7 linked regions of the Mus musculus genome follow. The protein of the gene in region 5 interacts with the protein of the main gene of each other region in a biochemical or structural test. Links are inferred from orthologs where the notes say so. Each region holds a gene or a part of one and is shown on either strand. Other genes may lie near its edges. The genes, in order: Bag2, Bag3, Echs1, Gnaz, Lrrk1, Tcf25 and Snx9.

Region 1 (4,279 bases), on a different chromosome or scaffold from region 5:
CCTGCACCAGGCAGGAAGAGTTCCAGAGCCATTACCAAAGCAAAGCTCTCCACAAGCTCAGGTAGCACTGAGGGATTTTTTTTTTTTTTCTTTCAGGAATCCTGTACATATTCATGAAGGAACATGCCTATTCCAAAGCATGCTCAGTTTAAAGTCATAATTTATATAAGGAAAAGAGCATAGGCGTGTCATTAGACAGGAGCATATCCGTAGTAACTTAGACTGGAGATGCCTCTGTGCGTGTTCAACGTGTGGAGACATTTAAACAAACATATGAAGATCCCTGCCATTTTAGTTACTTTCCTACTGCTGTGATAAAACACCTCCACCAAGACAACTTGTAAAAGAAAGCATTTAATTGGACTTAGATACAGAGGGTCTGAGTCTATGATGGCTGCAGAGACATGTCCTGAGCACTCAGATCTCAAACCCAAGCAGAGGCAGAGAGACACTGGGAATAGCTTGGTCTTCTGAAACCTGCCCACGGGGAGTGATACACTTCCTTCAGCAAGGCCACACCCAGGCCTCCCCAGTGTTCAAGTGCTAGAGAGCACAGATGGCATCTCATTCAAACCACCACATCTGCCTGGCCTCGTTGCCAACCTAACAGAGCTATGTCTGCGGCCACTTTTATTTTTCCTTTGACACTTGCTGAAGCTACCCAGCCTAGCCTTGAATCCACCCTGGCCCACGTTACACAACTTGTCAGCCTCCAGAGGAGCATTAGACCTGAGACCTGCCCAAGTTCAGACTTTCAAGATGTCCACAAAATGTTCAGATTTCACGGTTGTATCGTGAGATGACAGTGTTTAATGAAGCCAAGATAATCCACCGTTTATTAGTATTAAGATGTGTTCGGGGTGTGGTGGGGACAGGATTAGAAACTGTACTTAAGGGGCTTGTCTCTGTTCAGTAATCTAATGGCTTTGAGTTCTGGGTAAAGGATGTAAATGTACTTTGTTTCCCATTTTCTGTACCCTGTACACTGAGAGGACAAAACACAACTTTAAGATGCGGCTTCGTATTTCAGACCTACTGACCTCTGCAGCTTCTGACATCTAAGCCTACTGAATATCATTCGCAGAGGGTTTAAACAAGTTATGTGTGATAGTAATAATCCTTTCATTGGAAAGGGGAGACAACACGGATCCACTTGGCTTCTCCTTATTTGGAGCCTGTGGTCTAGGCTTTCCCTGTCCTCTCCCGAGCCTGCCTGGTCACCGGACAGGTCGAACAAGTAGAGACTGCCCTAGGGTGCACTGGATTGTCTCCTCTTCTCACGGGCTGCACCCACTTCGTCCTTGCTGTGAACCGTGGGTGCTGGGAGGACCGGCCGAGGCCCTGGGCGCCGGGGCAGGGTCCCCCACCCTGGCGTGCCCGCGGCTGCGACCGCGCCTGCCCTTGTTTGGCCGCACGGCCTCGGGGGTGGAGAGCCGGGGAGGTGGGGGCGGTGCCGTCCGCGTCAGCGGCGCCCGTGGTGACGGCGACGTGCGGCTCGCGCCACTGCTGCCCGCGGACGCCGAGGACCCCCGGAGCTCATGGCCCAGGCGAAGATCAGCGCCAAGGCCCACGAGGGCCGCTTCTGCCGCTCGTCTTCCATGGCCGACCGCTCCAGCCGCCTGCTGGAGAGTCTGGACCAGCTGGAGCTCAGGTGAGGGCCGCGGGGCGCGCACAGGGGCGAGCGCGGGCGGGGGCGCGCTCCGGTTGGGCTCCCCTCCCCCGGCCCGGCAGACTGGCGAGCGAGTGCGGCTTGCAGAACTTCCAGAATCTTCTGCGCGGTCCCCCTCTGCCTTTAACTTTTCTGCTTCCAGGAGGGAGGCAGCAGGTTGGTGTGCCCCCCCCCCCCTCACCCCACACTGGAGTAAGTTTCTTTGCCCCAGATCACTTCATAGTAATACAAGTGTAAGGGAGGGGGGGGTGGTAGTATCCAGGACGGCCCCTCCTGGGGATCATCGAGAATCGGACTCATGAGAGACCGCGCGAGGTACACCGAAGTTGGATACCATCCTTCATTCTCTCAACCACGTGCAATGCCCTCTGCAGTCTGTCCGTGTTTGTTGTACATTTAGAAGACACGGCTGACACCTTGGAAGTGCCAATCGCAGGCCCGAAAACACCAAAGGCAGGAGTCACACTCTCCCTAAGATTCTGACACGGGGACAGCCTTGTCGTAAAATTTCTAACTCATGAATACTACTAACGAATGCTGTGAACACTTGGTTGGCTTTAACCACGTGAGCCTTATGTATCTGGTGGAAATGTTAATGTCTTCAAAGTTGTGCAAGTTTTGATCATGTGCAGGTGTTCCATGAAAATCTTATCAAGATGCCCTGACACACACGTTGTTCCCTAGTTTTCTCCGGGTTCTGCGTAAGCAGAACACTATGACCCAAAATTATAAGAGGGAGATGAATCTCCCTCCACGCAGCCACCAAACACAGGGAAGTGTGTCTGCACAGGAAAAAAAAAATGCAAGCAGTGTTCGTTACACGGGAGGCGCTCATTACTGTTACTATTAGGAGAAAAGAGCCAGAAGGTGAGAAAACTTTCACTGACTGTGGAGTAGCCACAAAAGAAACCTGAACCCTATATCCCCCAACTCCGGGAGACAAAGGGACCTGCGCTGTGAAAGGGGGCGAGAATGTTTCCTTGTGCGAGGTAGGCTCTAACCTTTGACAGTATATTCCCAACTGCTCCGATTTTTTTTCTTGAAAGGGTTCAGGAAGTTGTGACTCTTCAAGCTGAGTCATTGTTCTGAACCTTTACTTAATCAAGCCTGTGTGCCGAGTCCTTGCTCTTCTCCTGGGGGCCTCTTGAAAGTCTGGAGTTTGCATAGACATTCTAGTGTCTGATTACTATCAAAGGAATCCTGACTACCAAACATAAGCGATTAAATTACGTTACTTATTAACAGTTGCGCTGAAGGGGTTTTATTTCTGTGTTTAATGGTTCAAGGCCTTTACCAGTAACTGCAGAGTTCTGTAAGTCTTGTTTCTCCCTTAAAAATGTAATGAGCACTTAGAAGTAAGTGTGTCAGAAGGGGCAAAGAAATAGAAAGAGATGCTGCCTGGTAAGGCTTAGGGGCCCTTTTTAGAAGCCATCTGGACAGTGCCACAGAGCATGACAGTATTCAAAATTAGACTTTTTAAAAATGGGGACGATGCTCCTGTGACTTCCCCCTAGCTTTCTTAGTGTACACGTCTGAGGACAACAGTGGACGGGGTACTACCGGAAATCACTGGATTGTCGCCAGTGCGCATCTTCCATTCAGGTGAATGGGTTCTGTGAACAGCAAAAGCCTGCTCCCTTGTAAGACTGAAACCACACCCAAGGCTTTCTGTCCTGCAGGATGCACTGATCTTCCGGGCATTGAAAATGCTTTTAAATGTTTAGCCCAGTTTTACAAGCTGGTAAAGGGTGCCATTGGTTTTTAATGGCTTATAATATTACAATTAAAAACATTTTTACATTAAAATATCCTTACATTAAAAAAAATTTTTTTTTTACTACATCTCCTTTCCTGTGGTGCTTTCTCTAAAAAGATAATCCTGTCCTTTCCTGATTTTCATGACCAGTTCTATGGGGACTCTGCACATGCTGAGGCTAAATACTGTACTTTTCAGTGGTTGTAAATAATCCACGTTAGCATTAGTCTGTAGGCTAGGCCGCGTGTCTCTGTGGGAGTTACCGTTATCTGTATTGTACAGATGAGAACTTGAAGCTCAGATATATACAGTGTGTCTCAGTCCAGAGCAGTGGACTTCGCCTAGGAACACGGGGAGACCGGCTGCTCAGACCAACACCATTTGTCCTGGTCTTGAATATCACTTTTCAAACTGTCCAGCTGATATATGAATGAATATGATTTTACTAAAGGAGGGGAAAATCGATTTAGCATTTGATTCAGTAAACCTTGAAGACCTAGAACGTGCCAGTTATCGAGTAGCTGCTCCGGGCCTGGGGTTTGGACATTGGCCAAGGAGGGATAAATGATTGACAGGGCTGGAAGGCTGGCTCTTTACACATCTCCCAAAACCGATCCCGCCCGCAGTGAGCAGCTCCTTTCCAGTTCACTCAGCCAGGAAAGGGTGACTGCCAGCGGGAGCCAGGGAAACGGGCCACCCGCCTGCTTTGGTTTCTTACTGTTTAAGGTTCCTGTTCGGATGCGCCAGTGTTCCAGGACCCACGAAGCAAGTTGACACCATACTTAATTTGGAGTAACAGTCTGTAATTTAGAAGGAACACTTTTCGTGTACACTGTAATTTCAACCACTGTAAT
Region 2 (4,112 bases), about 62 Mb from region 5:
TATTTTTTAAATAGGGCATTGCTAGGCGTAGTAGATGGTAGTGTGCACCTTTAATCTCAATACTTGGGAGGCAGAACTATATAGATAGACCATATCTTTAAAAAAATATCCACAGCCAAGCAGTGGTGACACATGCCCTTGATCCCAGCACTTGGGAGGCAGAGAGATGGATCTCTGTGAGTTCAAGGTCAGCCTGGTCTACATAATTAGCTAGTTCTAGGACAGCCAAAACTACACAAAGATACCTTGTATTGAAAAACAAGCGAAAAAATTCACTTTGTATTCAGTCTTCAATAAACATCAATCTTTATTCCTTTATTGAAGATGGACTCTGGATTTAGCCACGTGCTGGGTGGGTTCAGGTATAAAGAAGCAAAAGACAGACACTGACCAGTGAGTGAATCTAAGTGTCTAGACCTTTCAATGTGACTATCAAATGATAATAAGTCAATATTCCCACATTTGGGCTTATACAGGTGTGTTTGGTGGCACCAGGCAGTACCTGAAGGCTAACTATGTTAATACTTATACTGAGGCTTTGAGACTTCAAAGTCAGTAAGAAGGTCTTTGGAAGTAAAAAAAATCAGCTTGTTGGAAATGTCTGGCAGAGTCCTCTAGTATTTGCCACAGAGTAAAAATCGGAGGGGAAGAGGCCAGAGATGTATCTTTGAAGGTCCCAGGACATTCTCTGAATCTGAGTCAGGAAATTGGCCTCAGTATTGGTTCCAGGTGTTTCTGAAGTCTAGTCACTGTGCGAAAGTGCCTATATAGAAGGCCAAGAGCACAAAGTTGTCACTTTAGTCCTTGCTTCTTCAGTTTTCCAAAGCAGGCAGGTGAGTTTCCACAGCTCTTTCTTTTTGTTGTGACCTCAGATCAGCATTCCAGAATTTCTCAGAAGTCATAAGGCCCTTGAGAAAAAGTTACTAAAAACGTCACTGCAGGACGCCAGCGTCACTGAGTGTGAAGAGAGAGAAAGAACTAGACTTTCCGAGTTTAAAGATGATTTAGTCCTTACACAAAGGTGGGGCCCCAGGTGTCGGCCCTTGGACTGCTAACCCCGGGACACCCCCACGCGGCACGAAAGAGTGGTGGGGAGTCCGGAGACAGAAACCAGCCAGAGAGCACAAGGACACCGGTGCGTGTCAACCTGGCGCGAGGCGCACAGGCCCCAGGACACACACAGGACAGGGATAGGGAGGGACAGCCTGGGTAGTCTAGGAGAAGGAGGGGCGGGTGACAAATCCCCGCCTCCGATCCCTCCCAAGGTCCCGCCCCGCCGCGATTATAGCCTATGACTCAGGGCGGAGCTCCGCATCCAACCCACGGCGGCCGCCAAGTTCTCTGGATGGGACCAGAAGTTTCTAGCCGGCCAGTTGCTGCCTTCTCTTTATCTCCTCCTTCCCCTTTGGCAGCTAGGAGGCTATTTCCAGACACTTCCACCCCTCTTCGGCCACGTCACCCAGTCCTTTAATTCATAAAGGTGCCCGGCGCCGGCTTCCCGGACACATCGGCTACACAGAGGTGCCCGCACTCCACGACCTCGTGACCCGCGCCCTAGCTCTGCGCCCCGGGCGGACCCTAACCCAGCATGAGCGCCGCCACCCAATCGCCCATGATGCAGATGGCGTCCGGCAACGGAGCCAGCGACCGAGACCCCCTGCCCCCGGGCTGGGAGATCAAAATCGACCCGCAGACCGGCTGGCCCTTCTTCGTGGACCACAACAGCCGCACCACGACGTGGAACGACCCGCGTGTGCCCCCCGAGGGCCCTAAGGTGAGTGGAGCTTGCCGTCCCACCTCGACGGCGAAGGGGCCTGGTCGAGCCAGGGCTATGCGAGTCACCCCACCCCGCGCCCTGCTGCGCAAGGAGAGTCCTTAACCATATCCGCCTCGAACGGGCGTCGGGCCGCAGAGAGCCGCAGGCAGGGTGGCCTTGGACGGTAGCCAGCGGGGTGCGACCCGCGTGGTGACATCGGGTGGTTTTCCACAGCCTCTTGCGAAGGGCGAAGGGCAGTGGTGGCCTGAGCTGCGGTGCGCCGCGTCCCAGGGAAGGGCGACCGGCCTGATGAGCGGCTGAGGCCCAGGCCAGGCCCGGCCGCCGCCTCTCTGTCCCGCGCGTCCCGTGCTGAGACCCTGGGCTCCCTCCGGTGCTGATGGCGCACGGCCAGGATTGAAAGGCTGCTGAGTGGAGTCTCCTGTGGGGATTTCACTTTCAAATTCAGAACTTAGTTGAGGCTTATCTTGAGTTTACTGGATCTTAGGCATAGAGTGACTCAGGAGGCTCGAGTAAATAAGTTATTTTCCCCCATTAAACTTATTATTACTGGTCGAAACTGCTTTCAGTTAGAGAAAATTCTGATACTACCACTATTTTTTTTTAAGATACTCTTTCTGACAGTTCCAAAACTAAAGATCAGACATTGTATCACCATACTTAGCCACTGCCTTAAGACTCACACTGGAGTGAAAGAATGTATTTTTAATGGCGTGATTCCTTGTTGTCCTTTTCAAATACTGGAGTTTTGTTACCAGAAACAGCTGAGGAGTCTGGTGAACACTAGGTGTATGCTTCATTTGCATAGATATTCAGGTTTGTGTACTTCAATCTAAAAAGCAAGAAAAATTGAAAATACAAATTTGGAATGAAGCCCAGCCTGGTTCAGGCCTGTCATCCCAGCACCCAGGAAGCTGTGGCGAGAGGATCTTGAGTTCAAGTCTAGCCAGGGCTATATAATCGGAGTCTATCTCAAAAGTTATTAAGTAATTAAGTTGGAATGAAACTAGCCTGTGTTGCAAAATAAGACCTTGTCTTTTTTTATAAAAAAAAAGAAAAAAAAGATTGAGCTGGGCAGTTGTGGCACACCTCTTTAATCCCAGCACTTGAGAGGCAGAAGCAGGCAGATTTCTGAGTTCAAGGCCAGTCTGGTCTACAGAGTTCCAGGACAGCCAGGGCTACACAGAGAAACCCGATCTCGAAAAACCAATAAAATAAAATAAAAATAAATAAAAATTCGATTGAATTTTGAGTGAAGAACTTAAAAATACAAATTTAGGTAGGATTTTTCTTGTTTGTTTTGTTTTTCTTTTTTTAAAATTAGATATTTTTTTATTTACATTTCAAATTTTATTCCTTTCCTCATTTCCCCTCCGAAAACCCCCCTATCTCATTCCCCCCCTCCCTGCTCATTACCCCACTCACTCCCGCTTCCCTGTCCTGGCATTCCCCTACGCTGGAGCACAGAGCCTTCATAAGACCAAGGGCCTCTCATTGATTTCCCACAAGGCCATCCTCTGCTACATATTGGGCTGGAGCCTTGAGTCCCTCCATGTGTACTCTTTGGTTGGTGGTTTAGTCCCTGGGAGCTCTGGGGGTAGTGGTTGGTTCATATTGTTGTTCCTCCTATGGGGCTGCAAACCCCTTCAGCTCCTTGGGTTGCTTTGCTTTTCAAGACAGGGTTTCTCTGTGTAGTGTTGGCTGACCTGGAACTCACAGAGATCCTCCTGCCTCTGCTTTCTGAGGCATGAGCCACCACCATCCGGCCACGTAGGATCTTTGAAAATATAGTTAACAGAAGTCATATTTAGCATAATGTTCAGTAATAATTTATGTACATTTGGTCCTTTCAAAATGAAAAGTTTGGTAAAGTAAATGCACTTTAAAATAGGACTCTATCATCAATGGGAGGAGAGGCCCTTGGTCCCGTGAAGGTTCTATGCCTCAGTATAGGGGAAGGCCAGGGCCAGGAAGCAGGAGTGGATGGGTTGGTGAGCAGGGGGAGGGGGGAGGGGATGGGAGTTTTCAGAGGGGAAACTAGGAAAGGGGATAACATTTGAAATGTAAATAAAGAAAATATCTAATTAAAAAAGGAAAAAAGAAAAAAAAAAATAGGACTCTACTTTGGGCCTGACCTGGTGGTACACAGCTTTAATCCCAGCTCTCAGAGGCAGAGGCAGGTGGATCTCTGAGTTCAAGGCCAGCTTAGTCAATAGAGAAATGTTGCCTCAAACAAACAAAACAAAACAAGAAGAAATACTCTTAACTTATTACTTTCTGGAAAAAAATAAAAGCAGTAAAGAGTTTATAAATTGTTTGGTATTTTCAAAAACTCACC
Region 3 (3,500 bases), about 74 Mb from region 5:
GGGTAGTTTGGAACCTCACAACTTCACCTCTGCAGTCCTGTGGCCTCTTCCCCGCAGACTCCTACCTGCATTCACAGATTCTTTCGCCATGGCTACTACGATTTTAGAATTGCTGGCAATTTTTTCTGCACATTGGATGGCTTCTTCAACCAGTTTTTCAACAGGAAAAATCTTGCTTACAAGACCTAAAACATGAAAAGTCTGAGTATTATGCAGAAATATCCCTGTCCACTTCCTCTAGAACCCAGTGACATCGAGAGGCCAGTTCCCTGGGTCCTTAACAAGGGATGGCTGTCCCCAGCAGTGGGTGACTCTGGGCTCTCCACTGACGGGCTCCAGTCACATGCTGTCTACAGGATCAAATGGAACAGAGGACTTGAGGACTGTGGTCACTGGCAAGGGCAGGAAAAAAGGCTGGCCTTTAAGAGCTTTTAAAGGCAGTGGAAAGAGATGTTGTTATTATTTCTAACCTGAACATATGTTGCCACTCTCTGGTATATGATGTATTTCAAGATATAAAAGCTAAGGACAGAACCTTAGGGCTCCAACACCAGCTACCCACGGGGACACCTGAAGCAGCCTATGCCTTCCCCAGCTCCCAGCATCAGATACCTCACCTGCCTGCTTTGCATCCTGAGCTGAGATGCGGTCACCAGTGAGGACCATCTCCATTGCTAGCGATTTGCCGACTGCTCGGGTGAGTCTCTGAGTGCCTCCAGCACCTACAGGGAGAGAGCTGAGGTCTCACCTGGCCCTTTGTCAGGTGACACTGAGAAGAAACCCAGGGCTGGGATGTAGCTCAGTGACAGAAGAGGCTTTAGCGCGAGGCCAAGGGATCCTTCTCGGCATTAAAAAGGAAGAAAGAAAAATCAAATTGGCTCCTTTCCCACCATGATGGAAGAAGGTTCCAGGTCTACCTTCTCCAGGTCGGCCTTGCCTTCTCCAGGTCGGCCTGCACCAATACACTGCTCTCTCTGCTCAGAATCTCAGAACAAGCCTGGTCAAGCCTGGTCAAGCCTGGAGAGTAGCAGAGACCTCCTCTGAATGTGGTCTCTTCTCTGAGGGCTCAAGTCCTTTCTCTGAATGTTCATCTCCTCCTGCCAGGTCTAAGTGGCTCCTGGAGGGCAATGCTATTGCTTCCTCCATATCTTAGGGCTTTCCCAGGCAGTGGGGAGTGAGGATCCCCCAATCCGCTGTGCTGAACTCAGGGAAGCTTCCTGACCTGTTACGCCACTGGCATAGGAATGGACAGAGCCAGACTCACATGGGACAGAGTTTTCGGTGTAAACCCAAGTCTACTCATCTTTGTCCCAAGCTCGTGACATACAAAGCTCTTAAAGGTGTGTGGATCATGGGCAGGAAAGAACCATTGTGGCTCAAGCCAGTAAACTCTGTGTTTATGATACTGTTGGATTTAGGATCTGTATATTCATGAGAGATGGGCATGTCCTGAGGCTTCCAGACTGCGCTAAGTGTCATATGCTGTCTTTCAGGTGCCGGTTGGCGGAGAGAAAACTGAACGGACAAGAAAGGCTAAGACTCAGGCTTCTCCTGCTACAGCTCACCTATTCTTTCTTTTTTAAAGATTTATTTATTTATATGTAAGTACACTGTCACTGTCTTCAGACACCCCAGAAGAGGGCATCAGATCTCATTACAGATGGTTGTGAGCCACCATGTGGTTGCTCGGATTTGAACTCAGGACCTTCAGAAGAGCAGTCAGTGCTCTTAACCACTGAGCCATCTCTCCAGCCCCCAGCTCACATATTCTTACCTGGGATGGTCCCCAGGAGGATTTCTGGCTGTCCGAACTGGGCTTTCTCGCCAGCATAGATGATATCACACATCATGGCAAGTTCACAACCCCCACCAAGCTGAAAAATAAGAATGTTCAGAAGCAGCTGGATTTGACCAGAGGAGCCCAGGCAGAAAACCACTCTGTTTGCTTATAGAACTTTTCTGGAACCATGAAACAGAGTCAGATAAGAGCAAATGTTAACTTAGCTGAACAAAACTAGATTTAAGTGGTAGGATAAACATAAGGGTAATGTTGCTCCCCTTAGCTGGGTGCATAGACTTTTATGCAAAGGGCCAGGCAGTAAATATTTGTGGCTTTGTGGTGAATAACTCAGTCTGGCATAGTGGCTCCAAATCAGCCACAGAGGGTAAAAGCATGAATTTGAGTGGCTGACCAACCCTACCAGGATGGCTTTTATTCAATAATCAGCATGTATAATAATCACATGGCTTTTCCATGGGCTAAGCTAGTGCTGCATTTCTCAATAGCCTAGTGAAACAGGAACCCTTGTGGGCGTCCAGACAGAGTACTCACAGCCTTCACACAAGTAGCTTAGCCACTGCAGCAATTAAAAAGAAACAGAAAAGTTCACTAAGGCATCTGGGAACTCGCCAACGGGCCTCCATCAAACAAAGCAGATAGCAAAAGACACTATTGGCTTTTAAAGGCACAGGAGGCCCCTGGGGAGCTGTCACTTACAGCATAACCATTGACAGCTGCGATGACCGGTTTCTTGACCCGGGTGATGTGGTCCCAGTGGCTCAGGAACTTGCTGGAGTAACAGTCCTGAAATGTTCGGTTCTGCATTTCCTTGATGTCAGCTCCAGCTACGGGTAGAAGTGCGGGTTCAATGACCAGACATTAAAGAACTTCTCAGTCCTCAAGGCTTGGGGGCACTTCCCTCCACAGTGGGGACAGCTGAGACATGGACCAACAACTCACCAAGCCATCTGTTTTAAGAAGGTAATGTTGAGGACTGTGTCAGGCAGTGGGTGGCAGGTACACTTAGAGGAGGACCGGCTTAGACCAGTGTTTACCTGACTAGTAAGGAACTGAGCATACCTGAATGTTCAACACATGCCCTGCTCTTCCACACAGCTTACTTTACAGGTTAGTATATCTTAAGGCACCCCTCTCATCACAGAGAAACTGGTCCATTTTGCTGCTTCCCACAGGCCCTAGCATTCCCCTCCCATCCACAACCATGGCTGCACACCTGCAAAGGCCTTATCCCCACCAGTGAGCACAATGGCACCCACAGCAGGATCTTGCTCAAAGGTCTCCAGTGCTTGGTTGAGCTCCTCAATCAGGCCATTGCAAAGTGCATTGAGTGCTTTGGGGCGGTTCAACTGGATCAGCCCCACGCTGCTATTCTTTCCTTTCTTTTCTGTGATGATGTACTGAAAGTTAGCACCTAGGTCAAGAGGACAAAGGGAAGTGTCATCATAAAGATATTAAAGTCACCGTGGTTGGTTAATCTTGGTCATCAACCTGACCACATCGCCAATCAACTAACACCCAAGCCTTACCTGTGGAAGACTTTCTTTCTTTCTTTCTTTCTTTTTTTTTTTTTTTGGGGGGGGGTTTTCGAGACAGGGTTTCTCTGTATAGCCCTGGTTGTCATGGAACTCACTTTGTAGACCAGGCTGGCCTCAAACTCAGAAATCCGCCTGCCTCTGCCTCCTGAGTGCTGGGATTAAAG
Region 4 (4,201 bases), on a different chromosome or scaffold from region 5:
TGTCTAGGGACTAGCCTCTGCTCCCTCGCCAGGAATATTGTAAGTTCCATTGCAAATTCAACTGTCAAATGTAATTCCTACATTGGTTTTACCCTCAGCAGAAGGATGAACTCTGCCCCCTGAACCTGCTGCAGAAACTGCCTCTGCCCAGCCTAAATCACTTGCTAAGGTGTATTTCCTACATACATTAACCCTCTGAAGAGTCGATAGTACAGTTTTTGACAGATTAGGAGACTGACTCTCAGCCAGGTTCCAGTGACAGACTGGCTGCACAGCCGGATGAGTTGGTAGAAATGCTCTTTAGCCATTAGCAAAAGTCCTTCGGTCCTTATTGGTCACTGTAGCAAGACAGGTGTCTTGACTGGCTTCAGTAGTACCCATAACCAGTACCTGGTCCCATCCCTAAAAGTTTAGGCAGCCCTTTCACAGGTGGGCTGTCTACCTGGGGTATGCAGTACAACAGTCAGCCACTGCACAATTGAGACAATCCCACGGAAAGTGGTGTGATGTTGTCCTGCCTCTGGAGCGTCTAGCTGGCAAGCACCAACATTATCGTCATGGCTCCCCATCTCATCCTGGGCTCTAAGGCACATATGCTTAAAGTTACAAGGATGGAGAAGGCAGAGAGGCACTATTGTGGTGGCACCTGGCCTGAGTCTTTCTTGTACAGGAGTAAGGTACTACCAGCCAAGACCCACAGACGGACTCCTCCTGATGAGAGTAGAATCTCACAGCTAGGTTCGTTTGTCAAAGATCTGATGTCTCCTGGGGAGTTTCCAAAGAGGTCAGGGGCTTCATTGATCTGGGACCCTTCGGCTTCTCTCTGTTGCGGGGGTCGACTCCCAGAAGTGCCCCTACATGCTAAAAAAGGAGAGCAGAAGAGAGGGCGAACCATATGCTGCGAAATCTCTCCAGCTTAACCCATCAGGGTTTTCTCGCGCCCTAAAGGATTATTGACATTATCCAAGGAAGCCTGGACGACAGCACCTTGCAAAAAGACATTGTGGGAGAATAGGTTGCCAGGGCTGAGTTCGAACCCCATTTGAGGTAGGGCAGGAAAGCCAGCGTGCAAGGAACCGGGGCTACACTGCTCTGAAGGTGGGTTTCCCAAGATGCTAGAAGTAGCTTCGGGAAGGCTCGGCGCAGTGCAGTGCCACAGTAGCTGGAGCCAGCAGCGCGTGCGGTAAGGCGGCGCGCGCACAGCCGCGCCCCTCCCCTGTCTGTCGTTATTGGACTACTCGCACGTCCGTCGGCAGTTATCGCCCAATGGAAAACGAGCCGGAGCTAGTGGTCGGGCGGCAGCGCGTGGTGCGGGGCAGACAAGCGGCAGACCCCGCCCGCGGTTGGCCTGGCAACGGACTGCGCTCGCGACTCCGCCCCCTGCCGGCGGCGGCGCGGTGCGGGGCGGGTGGACCCGCTTGCAGGCGGCGCGGGAGGGCGGAGGAGGGAGCCAGGGCGGCGGAGCGTGTGTGCCACCCGCGGACCGGTCACGTCCTCGCGCGGCCGCCGGCACCCGCTTCGTGCAGAACCAGGGCGCCACAGCCCTACGCTCGCGGCCCCGCCCCGCCGGGTGCAGCTCGACCGACGCACGAAGCCGCGCCCGGGAGGTGAGTGAGTGAGCGCACCAGCGGCCCCGGCGCGCACAGCTGAACCCGGGGCTGGGGGCGCGGCTGGGGCGCACCCCACCCCCACCCGGGTCGGGGCCTGGGGCCTTTGTGCTGGGGACCCGAGATCTATAGGGCTAGGGGTGCAGAGGCAGGGATGCCCCTCCGGGTGGGAGAGCCCGCTAGGGGTGGGGTTGTCTGCTAGGTGGGCAGGGGGTGGCTATGGCCCAGACAGGTGCCTTGGGAGGGAGGAGCGGCGGCCCAGTAACCCTTGGAAGGGGTGGCTGCCACCTGACGAAATTGGGCAGGGGGTGCAGAGGATGATGTGGGACCACTGCACGCCCTGAGCGGGTGCGGAGTGCAGGCGGGCGATCTGCAGGAGCGACGCCAGGCGGGGGGTCTCTCTCCGGGGGTCCAGGGGTACAGGCAGCCGCAGGTGTCAGGAGCTTGGCCTTGGGTAAAAAAATAAAAAAATAAAAACGGGAAGAGAGGGCCCTGAGGCCCGGTACAACAGCTCGCTGTTCTCGGTCATCGCTCTTGCAACGGAGCAGGTTCCTTGGAGGCATTTGGAGCCAGAGATGAGTATCGACCTGCTGCGATTGTAATGTGTTCCTGGCTCAATATTTTTTCCCTTAAAAGGCGGTGGGGTGTTTGGGGAGGGGTGTGAGGGCCTCTGCTCCGGATCCTGCGGTGAATCTATGGGGGCTCTGCCTTTAGGGAGGTGCTGAGCCTATCTGGATGGAGGATGGCAGGAATCTGCCTAGGCCGAGAATTGGGGATCCTGTTACAGAGAGGAGGATGGGAAAGCAATGCCAAGTGAGACCAGGGTTCCCTGGAGTGTGAGTCTCAGGGTGGAGGGACCAGCCTGGTAACGATGTCGCCTTGTCTGTGGAGGAGATTGGGGCAGGACCCTGAGCCTTGACACTCTTTTCTGCCCAAGTGGTTTCTTAGCGCTGAGAATCATCATCTAGGTCTGCTAACCTGGCCCCTGTCTAGAGGAAGCTGCTTGGCCAGATTCAATTAAGCAAACATTTACTGAGTACTGGCTCCCCTAGGGCTTGTGCTAAGGTGGAAGGGTGGGAGTGGACTGGGCCAGCCCTCCCAGGACTGATTCACCTTCCTCAGGGGGAAATAGGGCTGTGCTCTGATAACCAGGCCTTCCTTCGGTGCAGTGCAGGGGGGCTTGGGAGGGGCCTGGGAGAGAGATACCCCGGGCTCAGGTCAGACCTGCCTATGGGCAATGTAACGTTTGAACTGGAGCTTGAAGGACACGGGCAGGGTCAGAATGGGCAATGTGGGCAGAGGGAAGAGAATGAATGGAGAGGCCCAGGAACTTGGGCAGCTGGCTGGGTTGGGAAGGAGCAGGGGAGGGATATTGAGGGAGGGAGGAGTCAGGACATGGATGAGGGAGGGGTGGGTGAAAGGCCAGAAAAAGCACAGGAAGGGAAATGGACAGAGGCACACCATGGCTGTCTGACCATGTTTGTGGGGCTGTCTCGGTGGAGACCACAGCCTCCGTGTCTATAAAAGGGAAGGTTCTGTGACCCCTGGAGCGTAGTTGTGTTAGAGAAAGAACTTCAGAGACCAGAGAGGGCTCCTGGCCACCTGGGACTGCCCTTGCAAGGCACCTTGTTCCTGGCAGAGCCAAGGGCCCTGGGTAACCAACCCACCCAGCCCCCTGCCCAGCCGAGATGAAGTCACCTGCTTTGAAGGAGACAGTTTTTTTAGCTGGTGAGTCTGGAGTTGGGAAGTTTTGGAAAAAAAAATGACTCTGGTAGGAAAGGCCATTGAGGGGACCCAGGAGGCTACAGAGGGTTGTCCCGTGCTTGGATAAAACAGCGCCTCTTCCATTTGCCTTCTCTAGACATGAAGAGATGCTTGCATTTGCTGTAAAACTCTTCCTGTGTGTTCCTCTAACAGATGCTTTCCTTTTTATGAGACAGGCTGTGAATAGACATAGTTCTTCCCCCATAGAAGGCCGATGTCACCTTCTGCCCTAGCTCTAGCTACTCCCTTCTTCCCAGAGATGGTTTTGGTTTCTCTCAGAAGGCCTGGTTCTTACTCATCCTGGTAGTGTGCCCACCATCAAAGATAGACATGTGCACACACACATGCACGCACACACACACACACACACACACACACACCCCTCCTCCACACACATACACACAGGATATTGGCTGAGGCTCAGGGTGCCCCAGCAAGAACACAGCCCACCTGCCCTTATAAAATACATGGTCTGTGCTTCTTGCCTGGCCCAGTCCAGGGACCTGCCATGGAACTCAGGGTTTGAAGCCTAGAGAATAGATTCTTAATTCTCTTGTCCCCAACCTCCTAGACCTTTTGGTACCTTTGGATTAAAAAAAAAAAAGTATCTCATCTATACCTCAAGAGATCCTGCGGATCCTATGGGGGGATCCAGCAGTATCTGGATGACTAAATACAGACACCGCTACCAAGATGCCCCTGCAGAGAAACTGCTGAGAAGGAGTCTTCTTGGGGGAGTGTATCCTCAGTCTAGCTAGTCTGAGTGCTCATGCGTGTGCACGAGTGTGTGTGTGTGTGTATGTGTGTGCACGCGCGCGTCCATGTGTGTG
Region 5 (3,500 bases):
CAGGAAACACAGCCACGAGTCCGTCAGCCAGGCCTGCCAGCACCAGGAAGGAGTTCTGTGGGGGGAAGGGACAGGGACACACAATATTCTTTCATGTCACACATGCGAAGAGAGAAACCACAGACACCAGACTCATCTCTCTATGTGCCTCAAGTGGTCACATGATCTTCCATAGTGCCTCAGAGAAGTAAAGCCTTTGAAATCTTGGCCTGCTCAGGGGTCTCAGGACTCTGTCCAGAGATGATGTAGCCTTGCCCCAGCAAAGCCACACCCACCACTGGTGCTGCAAGGCAAGAGGTAAGCCAGGGAGAACAGTGCCCATAGTGCTGAGGGCATCAAGCAAGGGTGCCACCACCTGGCATTGGTCCCTTGCTGGAGGAGCAGCGGGGAGCTGCCTTTCCTGGATGCCATGAAGGCCTCATGAAAGGCAGGGCAGAATGCTCTCCCTGTTGTAGATAGCTTATTAACATGACAGCTGTTATAGGCATGAGTTCTGTTTATTGCTCACACGGTGGAGAACTCCAGAAAAGCAGGGGGCAGGTCTCTGTGCCCACCACTGTCACCTGGGCACTGCACTGGCACAGGAAAGGGTTAAGTCTGAGACACCTCTGTGGCCCGGGATCCCACTGTTTCCATCAAGTGGACAATCTATGACCCTGGAAGAACGAGCTTCTAGCTTAACTCTCCTGCTGGCATGTCTTGGTCCCATGTGCCCACATCCACACTCTGAAGAGCCTGGGCTGACACTACTGAGGAGTTTGACTTACCACGAAGCACCGTTTCCTCTGTAGCCACCGCCAGAGGTTACTAGGCAGAAGCCAAAGCTGCAGGTACAAAGCCAAATACAGGCTTCCAGGGGTGTCTCACAGAGCAGAGCAGAGCAGAGCAGAGCAGAGCAGAGCAGAGCAGAGCAGAGCAGAGCAGAGCAGAGCAGAGCAGAGCAGAGCAGATACAGAGTGAGTGGGTCAGGAAAAGGGCCACAGAACCAAGTCAGAGTTCATGACAGGACCCCAGCCTTGTTCTATCTAGCCAGGGGGAATGGCAGAAAGCCACTTTGTTAGCAGTCAGGGTGCCTGTGTGGAGCGGGGTGGGCAGCTGTTCAGGGTAGTAGAGTGAGTGGCCTCTCACACAACATCCACAGTAAGGAGCCCTAGGAAAATTTCTCAAAATCCATCTTCAGGATCTAGGTCAATAAAGCAGCCAGAGCAAACAGGCCATAAGTCTTTCTGGATCCTGGCCCTGCTGGCCGGCGTGGGGAACACCACGTTCGGTGGGTTGTGAGCGTGCTTGTGCAAGAATGCACGCACGGTCTGCCCTGTGTGGCCTCCGCAGGTCAACCTCCACGGGGGCAGGCACCCTGCGCAGGAGGCTCACACAGAGTCCGCTTTATTTCCCCTGCTCCGGCAAGACGTGAGCCCTGGCTGGGGCTCTGGCTGTCAGGGCCCTTCAATAATGCTTTGTGTCCGTTTCTCCCAGCCTCTGGTGTAGAGATCCCAGCTGCCTAGGGTGCTCCTGGGGCTACAGTCATAAATGACTGTAAGGTTCATTTCATACCCATTTTCTGTCCCTTTTATAAAGAAATGAAGCTAGATCAGGGTGCAGAGAAAAGCTCACAGGTTTGGCGACATACAAAGTCATAGCAACCTTTAGCTCCAAGTACCCAGCCTGGAACTCTGGGCTCCATAGGTCCAGAGACCTATTTCATTACTCAATCATCCTCATGTTAGGCGGACAAATGGGGACCACATAAGGGCAGGCCGCACATTATAAAAAGCTGTGCTAGGAAGTGATGCTTATGCACTGGTGGAAGGCACGCGTTTTACCCACAGGCCCCTTGTGACCTGATTGGATCCAGGGAAGGAAGCAGAGCTTGGGAGAGCAAGCAGTGCCACCCAACTTCTCAGAGGAGTTCCTGACAGTTCACCAGAAGAGAAGGTGAAGCTCCCGTGTCTACTGTTTGGAGGAGAAGGCCCAGGGCCAGTCAAGAGGTGGCCTTGCCAGCCCTAGTGAGGCTAGATTCCATGCCAAGGTGCGGTGGAGCTGGGGCTGGGGAGCACACTGAGTGAATGGGGTTAGGAGGGCGAGGAAGTGGGTCTGCTCTGCAATGCTGGGCAGTGCTGGGCAGTGCTGGGCAATGCTGGGCAATGCTGGGCAGTGCTGGGCAATGCTGGGCAATGCTGGGCAATGCTGGGCAATGCTGGGCAATGCTGGGCAATGAAGGACTGAGGCCTGGGAAGGAAAGCAAGTCTTTGAGAGAAGGCAGAGGCAGATGAAAGGGAATCAGCTACGCCCACTAATCAGAAAAATCAGTGGCCAGGGCAGAGGAGAGGCTCCTGATGCCTTTATCAAGAGAAGGAGCCACGTGTTTGCTTCATCATCCGCACCAGCGTGAGCCTCATCTAAGCCAGGGGCACTGGCATTTGCTCATGGACGGTAGGCACAGGTTAACGGTGGTTGCCTGTGTCTCTAAAGCTGGCTATGACCTGGGCAAGGTGGCCCAGAAAGGTGTGACTCCACTGTTCTCAGCAAGGAGATCCTCCCACACTTGGTGACAGACCTGAATATGTCCTCTCCCCACCTTACCTTTTTGATAACAGGTACTGCCAAGAAACAGGTGACGACAGCTGGGGTGTCCAGGGCCTGCTGGGGCACGCTTAATGGGCACATACCCTTAAGGCTGTAGATATAGATTTTCTGGTCCTGCAAAAAGCAGACAAGCTCACTGTAAGAGCTAGAGAAGGAAGTGACCGGTATGTCCTATGAGGATGCTTTCAGCCTGGGGAACCCCTTTGGTACCTTTCTAAAGGCAGCATTTTGCTTGCTAATTCATTTCTGCTTTTTGTTTGAAAACTACAGTCTGGAAGAAAGTTAGCTCATAGAGGGTCCTGAGGAGTGGGGGATGGAGCGTCTCAGAAGCTCCCTTCGGCTATGCATGAGTATACCACTAGCAAAGTGGAGTCACGATACAGTGACAGTGTGCCATGGGCAGAGTCCTGTATTTACCCCCTCAAGGATGTATATGGGGTCACCTCCTCTGTTCATCACCTTTAAACATATTTGGTGAATTTATTGTTGCTATAAAGAATTGTATCGGAATAGGTACTCTTAGAGATCTCTCTGTGTATTCTCCTAAAACAGATCGATGAGGCTTTAGTGCCATGGGTATCTATGGGTTTTGGGAGATCTATATACTTCTAAACAGTCATGTCGAAGCATTATGATGTTCCTTCCCCTACTCATAAACCTGGAGCATTTGATTTAGAGCGGTGTTTGGATTTCTCATAGGACAGCCACTTGGATCTTTCCATGACTTCTGCATACAGAGGCAGAAGGTCCTCGGAGATGAGCTATGCTCCATGGCCCTCACACTATTATGAGGAAATCCAGCATGCCATCAACACACCCAGTTTCTCCCGCTGAGCATCTCTACCTATTCTTACTACCCTGAATCCTAGCTTCCAGCTGGTGGCCAGCAGGAGCCAGCAGTGATTCCCCCGGTG
Region 6 (3,500 bases), on a different chromosome or scaffold from region 5:
GACGTCGTGTGGGGCTGCAGGGGAGCAGTCATGGCTTCTGTAGCTGTACGATTCTGATGATAAAGGTTCCCGGGACAGAAGGACGAGGACAGTGTCTCGGTCACTCAGGTGCTCACTGTAGAGAGTGAGGGTGTGAGTGTGGGTATCCAGAGCCCACATAAAAGGCAGGGCACGGTACCGTGGGATGTCACCGAGTTACTGCAGGCACGGGGCAGGGGCATGGCTAGCAGTGGATGAGCTGCAGGTGTGCTGAGAGGCCTTGTCTCGGAACATGAAGGGAGGGAGCCACAGAGAGGGCTGGGTGGGCAGAAGCACTAAGCCCGATGCCCTGGTTTGAACCTTAGAACCCACATATGGAAGGAAGGGGCTGACTTCTGCAGCTTATCCTCTGGCCTCTGCCCACGCGCCATGCTGTGCATACACACACACGTGCCCCGCTGTGCATACACACACACGTGCCCCGCTGTGCATACACACACACGCGCCATGCTGTACATACTCACACACGCGCCATGCTGTGCATACACACACACGTGCCCCGCTGTGCATACACACACACGTGCCCCGCTGTGCATACACACACACGCGCCATGCTGTACATACTCACACATGCGCCATGCTGTGCATGGGTGCATACATACACCAAATACATAAATAGAATTTAAAGGTCAGAATAATGAAATATAATTGCAGAAAGACACCAGAATTGACATTCAGCCTCTGCACTCATGTACACATGTGTGCACCATGCATGCATGCACACTAGAGATGACATATACACGCACTTCTCTCTCAAAACGCAGGAAGAAAGGAGGGCACTGGGAAAGGCTTGTGTTAGGTGGAGTCAGATCCTTCTCTGCTGAATTGGCTTTGTGAGCTTTGTGAGCTTTGTGCTTCCAGAGCTGAGGTGCCTGACCCTAGAAGCTCTGAGCCCACCTGCTGCTGTAGCATCAGTCATCTGACTGGGCTGATCCCTGCCCTTCTGTGTCCCTTTGTCTGTTCTGCATGTAGAAAATGGGGTTTTCAGGCCTGGTGGTAGTGGCACACGCCTTTAATCCCAGCACTTGGGAAGTAGAGACAGGCTGATTTCTGAGTTTGAGGCCAGCCTGGTCTACAAAGTGAGTTCCAGGACAGCCAGGGCTATACAGAAACCCTATCTTGAAAAAAAGGAAAAAAAAAAAAGAATATGGGTTTTCTTATCTTAAGGTCAGAGGCCCAAGAGGAAGCAGCTATGGCATCCTGGCATACACTACACATCTGTAAAGCCCTGCACATCTGTAAAGCATGTGCTTTGTCCTCACAAGCTTGAGGCTCAGACGTCATTTCTTCCTCTCTTACAGGCTCATCGGAACCTGTCCCAGCTCCCAAATTTTGCCTTCTCAGTTCCACTGGCCTATTTCCTTCTGAGTCAGCAAACAGACTTACCTGAGCATGAGCTCAGCTCTGCCAGGCAACAGGCTTCCCTCCTGATACAGCAGGCACTCACCATGTTCCCTGGAGGTGAGTGCTGCCACCTCTTGTGGGTATGGAACTTGTCTTTCTGGGGATTGAGTCTAGATCACAGCCCTCTCCGTGCTGGATGCAGAGATTGCATTCTCCTAAAGACTTGGCTGTAGCTCTTGTTAGACAGTAATTTACAACCTCCAGTGAGCCTACTGCAAGTTTGGTGAGGTGTCGGGGGAGGGGGAGCAATGCCCTCTCTGGGAGTTAGTTTCAGGATGGGAAAGTGGGGCTTTTTCCAAACATGGTGCGTTAAGATAGCCTGTGGTACTAGAGAAAGAAAGCAAAAGTAGCATCTGGAGAGGCCCAAGGCTAGCCCAAAGAGGCCCAAGGCTAGCCCAAAGACGCTTCAAAGGGCCTTGACTATGAGTAGCCAGGAAGAAACCCTGGTGCACTTCCCAGGCGTTCTTAAAATGTGGGGCCAGGAGAATCGGGGAGAGAGAGCGTGCCCAGGTCTTTCCTAAGAGTGCACACAGAGTGGCACTGACATAAGACTCTGTGGCCAGCTGCTCCCTCTGTTAGAAAGTTCCAGAATTAATGCCACATTGTAGATTCTGAGTTCCCCGAGTCTTGGCCAGAACTCTTGCCTACCAACCAGACCTGGCAGCCCCAGGCAGAAATCCTATTTGCTGACTCAGTGAGGGCCAGTTCTGTCACTTAGAAGCTGCCTCTGCCATCTGGCCTGAGGTCGCTTGCAGGGCTTTTTCTGTCGGGGACCAGCTAACTGGGCATCGATTGGTAGCCCGTGCTCTGTGCTGCAGAGTAAGCACGTCTTCCTCACAGCCCGCTGCAGCACGAACATGTCCCCAGGAAGTCGCTGGGACGGCTGGGTCGTGTTCTGGTAGACTACCAGCATGAGAGCAGTTCGGAGATGTTAGCACTTAGTGAACAGCACTACAGGCAAAGAGAGCCAGGTTGGCTCAGTTGGTCATCCGTCGGATCCTGGTCCCTGCAGAGTTAGCTACAGTCAACCCCACTCTCTAGTCTGCCTTCAAGTCTAGCCTTCATATGATTAAAACGTGCAGCCATCTATGCTTGAAGGTGATAGACAAGAAGTATTCCTTGGATACAGATGAGATGACATGCATCCACTTCCCTAGAGTTTAGAGCTATGTTGGCGCCTAGTGTGAGAGACCCAGCCTATGTACCAATTTTGTGATGGTAGTCAGAAATGAGTCCTTTAACTTCACAGCACCCTGTGGTATATATGACAGCTACCTTCCAGTGTCTCTTGTCTTTTGCTGTGAGGCTGGGACAAGGACTGCACAATCCATGGAACCTTTGCTTCCCCTGCAGTTCTTATGCCACTGCTGGAGTATTGCAGTGTGCGACCTGATGCCACGGTCTCAAACCACCGCTTCTTTGGGCCGGATGCTGAGATCAGGTACAGAGCCCTGCAGATGTGAGACTGCGGGTCCTGCTCCCTAGAGCCCTGCAGATGTGAGACTGTAGGTCCTGCTCCCTAGAGCCCTCCAGATGTGAGACTGTAGGTCCTGCTCCCTAGAGCCCTGCAGATGTGAGACTGTAGGTCCTGCTCCCTAGAGCCCTGCAGATGTGAGACTGTAGGTCCTGCTCCCTAGAGCCCTGCAGATGTGAGACTGTAGGTCCTGTTCCCTAGAGCCCTGCAGATGTGAGACTGTAGGTCCTGCTCCCTAGAGTCCTGCAGATGTGAGACTGTAGGTCCTGCTCCCTAAAAGAGGAGCGGATCCTGTCCTGGGGGCTGCCTGCCCAACTAGAGTAGTGGAGGATGGCCCTGGAGCCACACCCATGTGCAGGGTGTTTCTCTTGTATGGGCAGGTGAGCAGCTGCCAGTCTCAAGAATGAGACCCACAGGATGCTTCCTTAGAAGAGTTGTGGGCAGGCCGTGAAGCCAGGAGGCATAAACGTGGGAAGAGAAGGAAGGTGGCGGGGCTCGTGACCGTTAGTATCATGAACTTTTCCAAGATTTCTAGACTGTCACATTTCTCAGAAACAAGAAAAAACACACAGAAAAAGCTGTG
Region 7 (4,231 bases), on a different chromosome or scaffold from region 5:
TGTTAAGAAGCATCTAACACAGGTCAAGACTGAGACACTCTCAAGGCCTGTAGCCCTGTTTGCTAAATAAGACATGACTGGACTCTAAGCTGTGTGCGAACTTAAGCAGAGCTCAGCAGTCTACTGAGGAAAGATTAGAAACGAAACCCAGATGATCCCTTTAAAGCATATAGTTACTGACGAATTGTCTTTAGCAATGAAGATCTGCCCAATTAAAGCTCTACACAATTTTTTTTTCTATTATGACTCTACCAAAAGCTCTTAAAAGTCATGAGAATTCAGGGCTAGCGAGATGGCCCAGTGGTTACGGAGCACCACTGCTCTTGCAGAGGAACAGGATTTGGTTCCTAGAATCCACGTGACTACTTACGACGGTCAGTTGACTCCAGTTCCAGGGAATCCAGATCCCTCTTCTTGGAACAAAACACCCATACACATAAAATAAATATTTTTCAAAATAATCATGTGACTTCAGAGATAAGTGTATATTCAAGAAAATATTGTAAGAACGACTTAGACTAAAACTGTGTATGGGAGAATTAAAGCCATTTTCCCATAAGCACTAAGGCAATCCCAACCCTACCAGCTGTCCACGTGATGCATTCATTTCCCAACACTTAGCTCTTATAGCAAAAGCCTGGGCACTACTTGGGCTTAAACGTCATTGAGTCCATCATCAGTCCTTGCTAAGTACACCTGACCACCTACAGGGTTCAAGGAAGGGAAGAACTCCAACTCTTCAGCTGTGGGGAAGGGAAGAGGTGTGTCTTTCAGGGACCAACTCAAAAATGAGCTTTGCTTTGACACACAAACGGAGAAAAGCGCAGAGGAGTTCCCTTTAACGAGGCTTTCCCAACCAGCCCCTTTCTTCAGAGGGCAGTGGTTTGTCCTCTGGTCCACCTGGGGATGCGGCCTCTTGGAACTGTGATTACAAACTAGGGAAGGGCACCAACAGGCAGCCAGGAGAGCTGGAATTTGCCTTCAGAAGCAGATAACAAGTAGGAAGTGCTTACACAGGTAGTGAGGCAGTGTGCAGAGGGGTCACAGGCACCTCAATTTCAGCCCAAGGACAGCCGTGCTTTTTCACTGGAAACATAAGGCTTCGCCACCATCAAATAAAACTTTTTCCTCTGCTTGGATATATGCATTACTTGCTAAGCTGAAGTAGGCATGCATGCCTCAGATCAGTACAAATATTACAGAATAGGGTCTATGTCACAAATCATTGTCAATGTTGCAAGATAACTCTGTAATTGAATTTTCAATTTCTGAAATGTCTAGGCAACAAACCTCAAAAATCCTCTGCTTAAATTAGGTTTCATCTCCAACAAAGTTTGTCACAATATAAGTATATTGAAAGGTAGGTAGTTGTCTTATATCTAGGAAAACCAAGCAACAACTGCTCAGATATACTACTAACAAGGCAATTATTTCAACAGTAGCAGTAGGTTTCTGAAGAAGCTTCATTTACATATAAACACTACACCTAGACAGAGTCAGGACAGAGAAAATGAATTTTTCTGGGCCCCAACTTCAACAGACTAAATGAAATCAGGCACTTCTGACCTTCCAAATTCCTTAACACTTTCCTATACCTTCTATAAACACCCATCTTTAAAAAAAAAAAAAAGTTTTCATCAAGCCAGAAGTAGCTTAGACGTGTCAAAAATAAATCTGGAAAAGGCACGCTGTTTGTAAAGGTGACATAATCAAAGCTCCGAGTACCAGTCTGTCTGCTACCCGCACATCGCAGGTCTATCAGAGGTTCACCTATGGTGCCTCCCACCCCAGGTCCTCACTTCCAAGGCTTAGGCTTTTCCCGGTGGCTATTTCATTCCCAAGTGACTACTGAAACCGCACAAGAAAAAGGAACAGGAGAAACTAATTTTTGTTGTTGTTGTTTTGTTTTTGCAGACTCAGATAGCAAAAACGGACTGCTAATTTCACAAACAATAACAAAAAAATAAGCAAACCAAGATTCCTGGCCATTTACCAAGCAGGAACCAAAGTTCCACTAAGCAGTTGGGGCCTGGGCCTTTTATGTTTTCTTTCTTTCTTTTTCTTTTTTTTCTGCCGGCAAACACGTAATCTAAAAGCACAGTCATTTCCCTCTTGATACTTTATTCGCTCCGAAAACGTCCCATTCAAACAGAAAAAGCCAGCCAAAACCAAAAGGAAAAAATGAGAGCCTGGAAGGCAGTGGACGCGGAGGGAGCGTGACTCCCGGAGGCTGCAGCGTCCTCCCCGCCCGGCTCGAGCGCCGGGCTGCCGTACGGAGGAAGGAGGCAGGCGCCAGGCTCAGTGCGGAGCGGCAGCGTCCGAGTGGCCCGCGCGCTGCTCCGGGGCTACGGGAACTCCGCGTGCCGGGGCGCCCGTCTCCGCTCAGGTGCAAACTTTGCGGAGCCGCCGCCGCCCAGGGGGAGCGGACCCCAGCGCTCGGCGTGACCCCGCTCTGGTGCCCGAGGTCGCGGGGTGAGGGGTGGGGGGAGCTCGCGAGCGACGCGTCGGGGCGCTTCGGCCTCGCCACGGCGCCGCGGAGCCGAACGGCCGGTCCGGCCTGCGCCGCGCGCCCCTCACCTTGGTGGCCATGGCGGGCGGTTCCCCGGCCCCGGCGGGCCGGCTGGTCTCCCGTGCTGCGGAGCTTCGGCCCTAAGCGGGCGGGGAGGTCGACTCCGTCTGCGGTTCGGTGGCTGCGGCCCGGCGCGGCGGCTCCGCCTCAGTCCTGCTCTCGGCGCTCCGGCCCCCGCGGCTCGGCGACTCCCGCCGCCGCCCGCGCCTGCAGTTCCTGAAAGTCCCGGCTGCGCGGCCCCCGCCCCCGCCGGCCAAGCCTCCCATGGACCGCGGCGTGCGCGGCGGAAGCGCGCCTGGGGCCTCGGCCGCAGCCCGGCCTCCTCGCCCGCCCCGGCCTCCGCCCCGACCCCGCCGCCCGCGGCTCCGAGCGCAGGGCCCTGGCTGGAGCGGCGGCTGCGGGGTCGGACGGGCGTCGGGGTCGCGGCCTGGTCGCCGCCGCCGCCGAGCCGTTCGCTGGGCGCGGCGCCGAGGGGGGCTGTGCCTCAGGCCCGGCTCTCTGCGAGCCGGAGAACGGTGATCCCCGGGAACTGACGGGAGCCACCCGCCTGGGATCCCGGGCCCACGGCGGGGCTTGCTGAGGGATCGGGGTGCTTGGGGGTGACTACTGCGAGCGCCACACGGACAAGCCAGCCCAGGGCGAGCAATGGCTTCCTGCATCTAGGCTGCATGGGATTTCTCGGAGGCTGTGATCTGGCCTGGGCTTCTGGGCCTGGACGCTTGGGGACTCCACCTGAGATGACCCAATTCTGCCCTTTGGATTGTTTAAAAATGCCTCAAGAAGTTTGAGGGCGCAACAGGTTTCCTTAAGTTAAAAGAGAAGCCCGAATTATAACATCTTTGATTGAGAGTAGTTTGTCTGCAGTTGGATCTGTATGGGTTTTATTAATAAACGAATGGTTTGAATTGATCGATGAGACTTTCACAAAAGATGAGACTGGAAGATTTACCTTAATCAGTGCAATAGTTTAATGCAGTTGTTTATAATAAGGATGCATCTTCTAGACAAATAAAATCGACTCTCTTATCCCAGGAAGTTGATATTTAATTTTACTGTCAAATTTGTAGCTTCTAGGACTGGGGGTGGTAGAAAGAATGACACATAGGTGTTTGCACCCCAGCACTGGGGAAAAAAAAATGTTTTTTTTTACTGACCAGAGAATTTGCAAGTTACAGCCAAAAATAGTGTTTAAGTGGTAATTCAGAGTTTTCTGTGGATGTTTGTGTGTATCAATGCTATAGTCAGGCATGGAAATATTCTTGTGTCTGTGTGTGTGTTACTGCTAGCTAGTGTCATGTCTACTTGACAAAGGCTAGAGTCATGTTAGAAGTAGGGGACCTCATCTAGGGGAAAACAAAAACAAAAAACACCAGATTGACTTTCAGTCATGCCTGTGGTGTATTTTCTTGATTATTAAAGGTGTGTGAAGGCCCAGCTATGTCGCCCAGCCCACATCTGTGCTGGTGGCCCTTGTTGCTGTAAGAAAGCAGGCTAATCAAGCCCTGGGGGACAAACCAGTAAGCAGCTGCCCTCCATGGCCTCTGCATCAGTTCCTGCCTTCAGGTTCCTGACCTGAGTTTCTGCCCTGATTTCTTTCCATGATGGAGTCTGACACAGGAGCGTAAGCAAAATAAACTCTTTCCTCACCAAGTTGCTTATCAT

What was found.
Region 1: the proteins of Lrrk1 (region 5) and Bag2 form a complex in vitro, tested with the Homo sapiens proteins (2 studies listed by BioGRID and IntAct, with this or other methods). The link is inferred for Mus musculus from reciprocal best matches to the Homo sapiens genes LRRK1 and BAG2.
Region 2: the proteins of Lrrk1 (region 5) and Bag3 form a complex in vitro, tested with the Homo sapiens proteins (2 studies listed by BioGRID and IntAct, with this or other methods). The link is inferred for Mus musculus from reciprocal best matches to the Homo sapiens genes LRRK1 and BAG3.
Region 3: the proteins of Lrrk1 (region 5) and Echs1 form a complex in vitro, tested with the Homo sapiens proteins (2 studies listed by BioGRID and IntAct, with this or other methods). The link is inferred for Mus musculus from reciprocal best matches to the Homo sapiens genes LRRK1 and ECHS1.
Region 4: the proteins of Lrrk1 (region 5) and Gnaz form a complex in vitro, tested with the Homo sapiens proteins (2 studies listed by BioGRID and IntAct, with this or other methods). The link is inferred for Mus musculus from reciprocal best matches to the Homo sapiens genes LRRK1 and GNAZ.
Region 6: the proteins of Lrrk1 (region 5) and Tcf25 form a complex in vitro, tested with the Homo sapiens proteins (2 studies listed by BioGRID and IntAct, with this or other methods). The link is inferred for Mus musculus from reciprocal best matches to the Homo sapiens genes LRRK1 and TCF25.
Region 7: the proteins of Lrrk1 (region 5) and Snx9 form a complex in vitro, tested with the Homo sapiens proteins (2 studies listed by BioGRID and IntAct, with this or other methods). The link is inferred for Mus musculus from reciprocal best matches to the Homo sapiens genes LRRK1 and SNX9.

Annotation. Positions count from the first base shown.
Region 1 is NC_000067.6:33,754,951-33,759,229, reverse strand, and holds the start of Bag2 (BAG family molecular chaperone regulator 2), read left to right. Parts: upstream 1-1,479; 5' UTR 1,480-1,538; coding exon 1,539-1,651; intron 1,652-1,663; exon of another isoform or gene 1,664-1,825; intron 1,826-4,279. UniProt on the Homo sapiens protein: Co-chaperone for HSP70 and HSC70 chaperone proteins. Acts as a nucleotide-exchange factor (NEF) promoting the release of ADP from the HSP70 and HSC70 proteins thereby triggering client/substrate protein release.
Region 2 is NC_000073.6:128,522,271-128,526,382, forward strand, and holds the start of Bag3 (BAG family molecular chaperone regulator 3), read left to right. Parts: upstream 1-1,312; 5' UTR 1,313-1,588; coding exon 1,589-1,774; intron 1,775-4,112. UniProt on the Homo sapiens protein: Co-chaperone and adapter protein that connects different classes of molecular chaperones including heat shock proteins 70 (HSP70s), e.g. HSPA1A/HSP70 or HSPA8/HSC70, and small heat shock proteins (sHSPs), e.g. HSPB8.
Region 3 is NC_000073.6:140,109,922-140,113,421, forward strand, and holds part of Echs1 (enoyl-CoA hydratase, mitochondrial precursor), read right to left. Parts: intron 3,213-3,500; coding exon 3,015-3,212; intron 2,626-3,014; coding exon 2,498-2,625; intron 1,875-2,497; coding exon 1,775-1,874; intron 723-1,774; coding exon 618-722; intron 186-617; coding exon 66-185; intron 1-65. UniProt on the Homo sapiens protein: Converts unsaturated trans-2-enoyl-CoA species ((2E)-enoyl-CoA) to the corresponding (3S)-3hydroxyacyl-CoA species through addition of a water molecule to the double bond.
Region 4 is NC_000076.6:74,965,776-74,969,976, forward strand, and holds the start of Gnaz (guanine nucleotide-binding protein G(z) subunit alpha), read left to right. Parts: upstream 1-1,401; 5' UTR 1,402-1,607; intron 1,608-1,647; exon of another isoform or gene 1,648-3,335; intron 3,336-4,201. UniProt on the Homo sapiens protein: Guanine nucleotide-binding proteins (G proteins) are involved as modulators or transducers in various transmembrane signaling systems.
Region 5 is NC_000073.6:66,262,842-66,266,341, forward strand, and holds part of Lrrk1 (leucine-rich repeat serine/threonine-protein kinase 1), read right to left. Parts: intron 2,701-3,500; coding exon 2,584-2,700; intron 56-2,583; coding exon 1-55.
Region 6 is NC_000074.6:123,394,211-123,397,710, forward strand, and holds part of Tcf25 (transcription factor 25), read left to right. Parts: intron 1-1,340; coding exon 1,341-1,500; intron 1,501-2,796; coding exon 2,797-2,884; intron 2,885-3,500. UniProt on the Homo sapiens protein: Component of the ribosome quality control complex (RQC), a ribosome-associated complex that mediates ubiquitination and extraction of incompletely synthesized nascent chains for proteasomal degradation.
Region 7 is NC_000083.6:5,839,893-5,844,123, reverse strand, and holds the start of Snx9 (sorting nexin-9), read right to left. Parts: upstream 2,801-4,231; 5' UTR 2,590-2,800; coding exon 2,578-2,589; intron 1-2,577. UniProt on the Homo sapiens protein: Involved in endocytosis and intracellular vesicle trafficking, both during interphase and at the end of mitosis. Required for efficient progress through mitosis and cytokinesis. Required for normal formation of the cleavage furrow at the end of mitosis.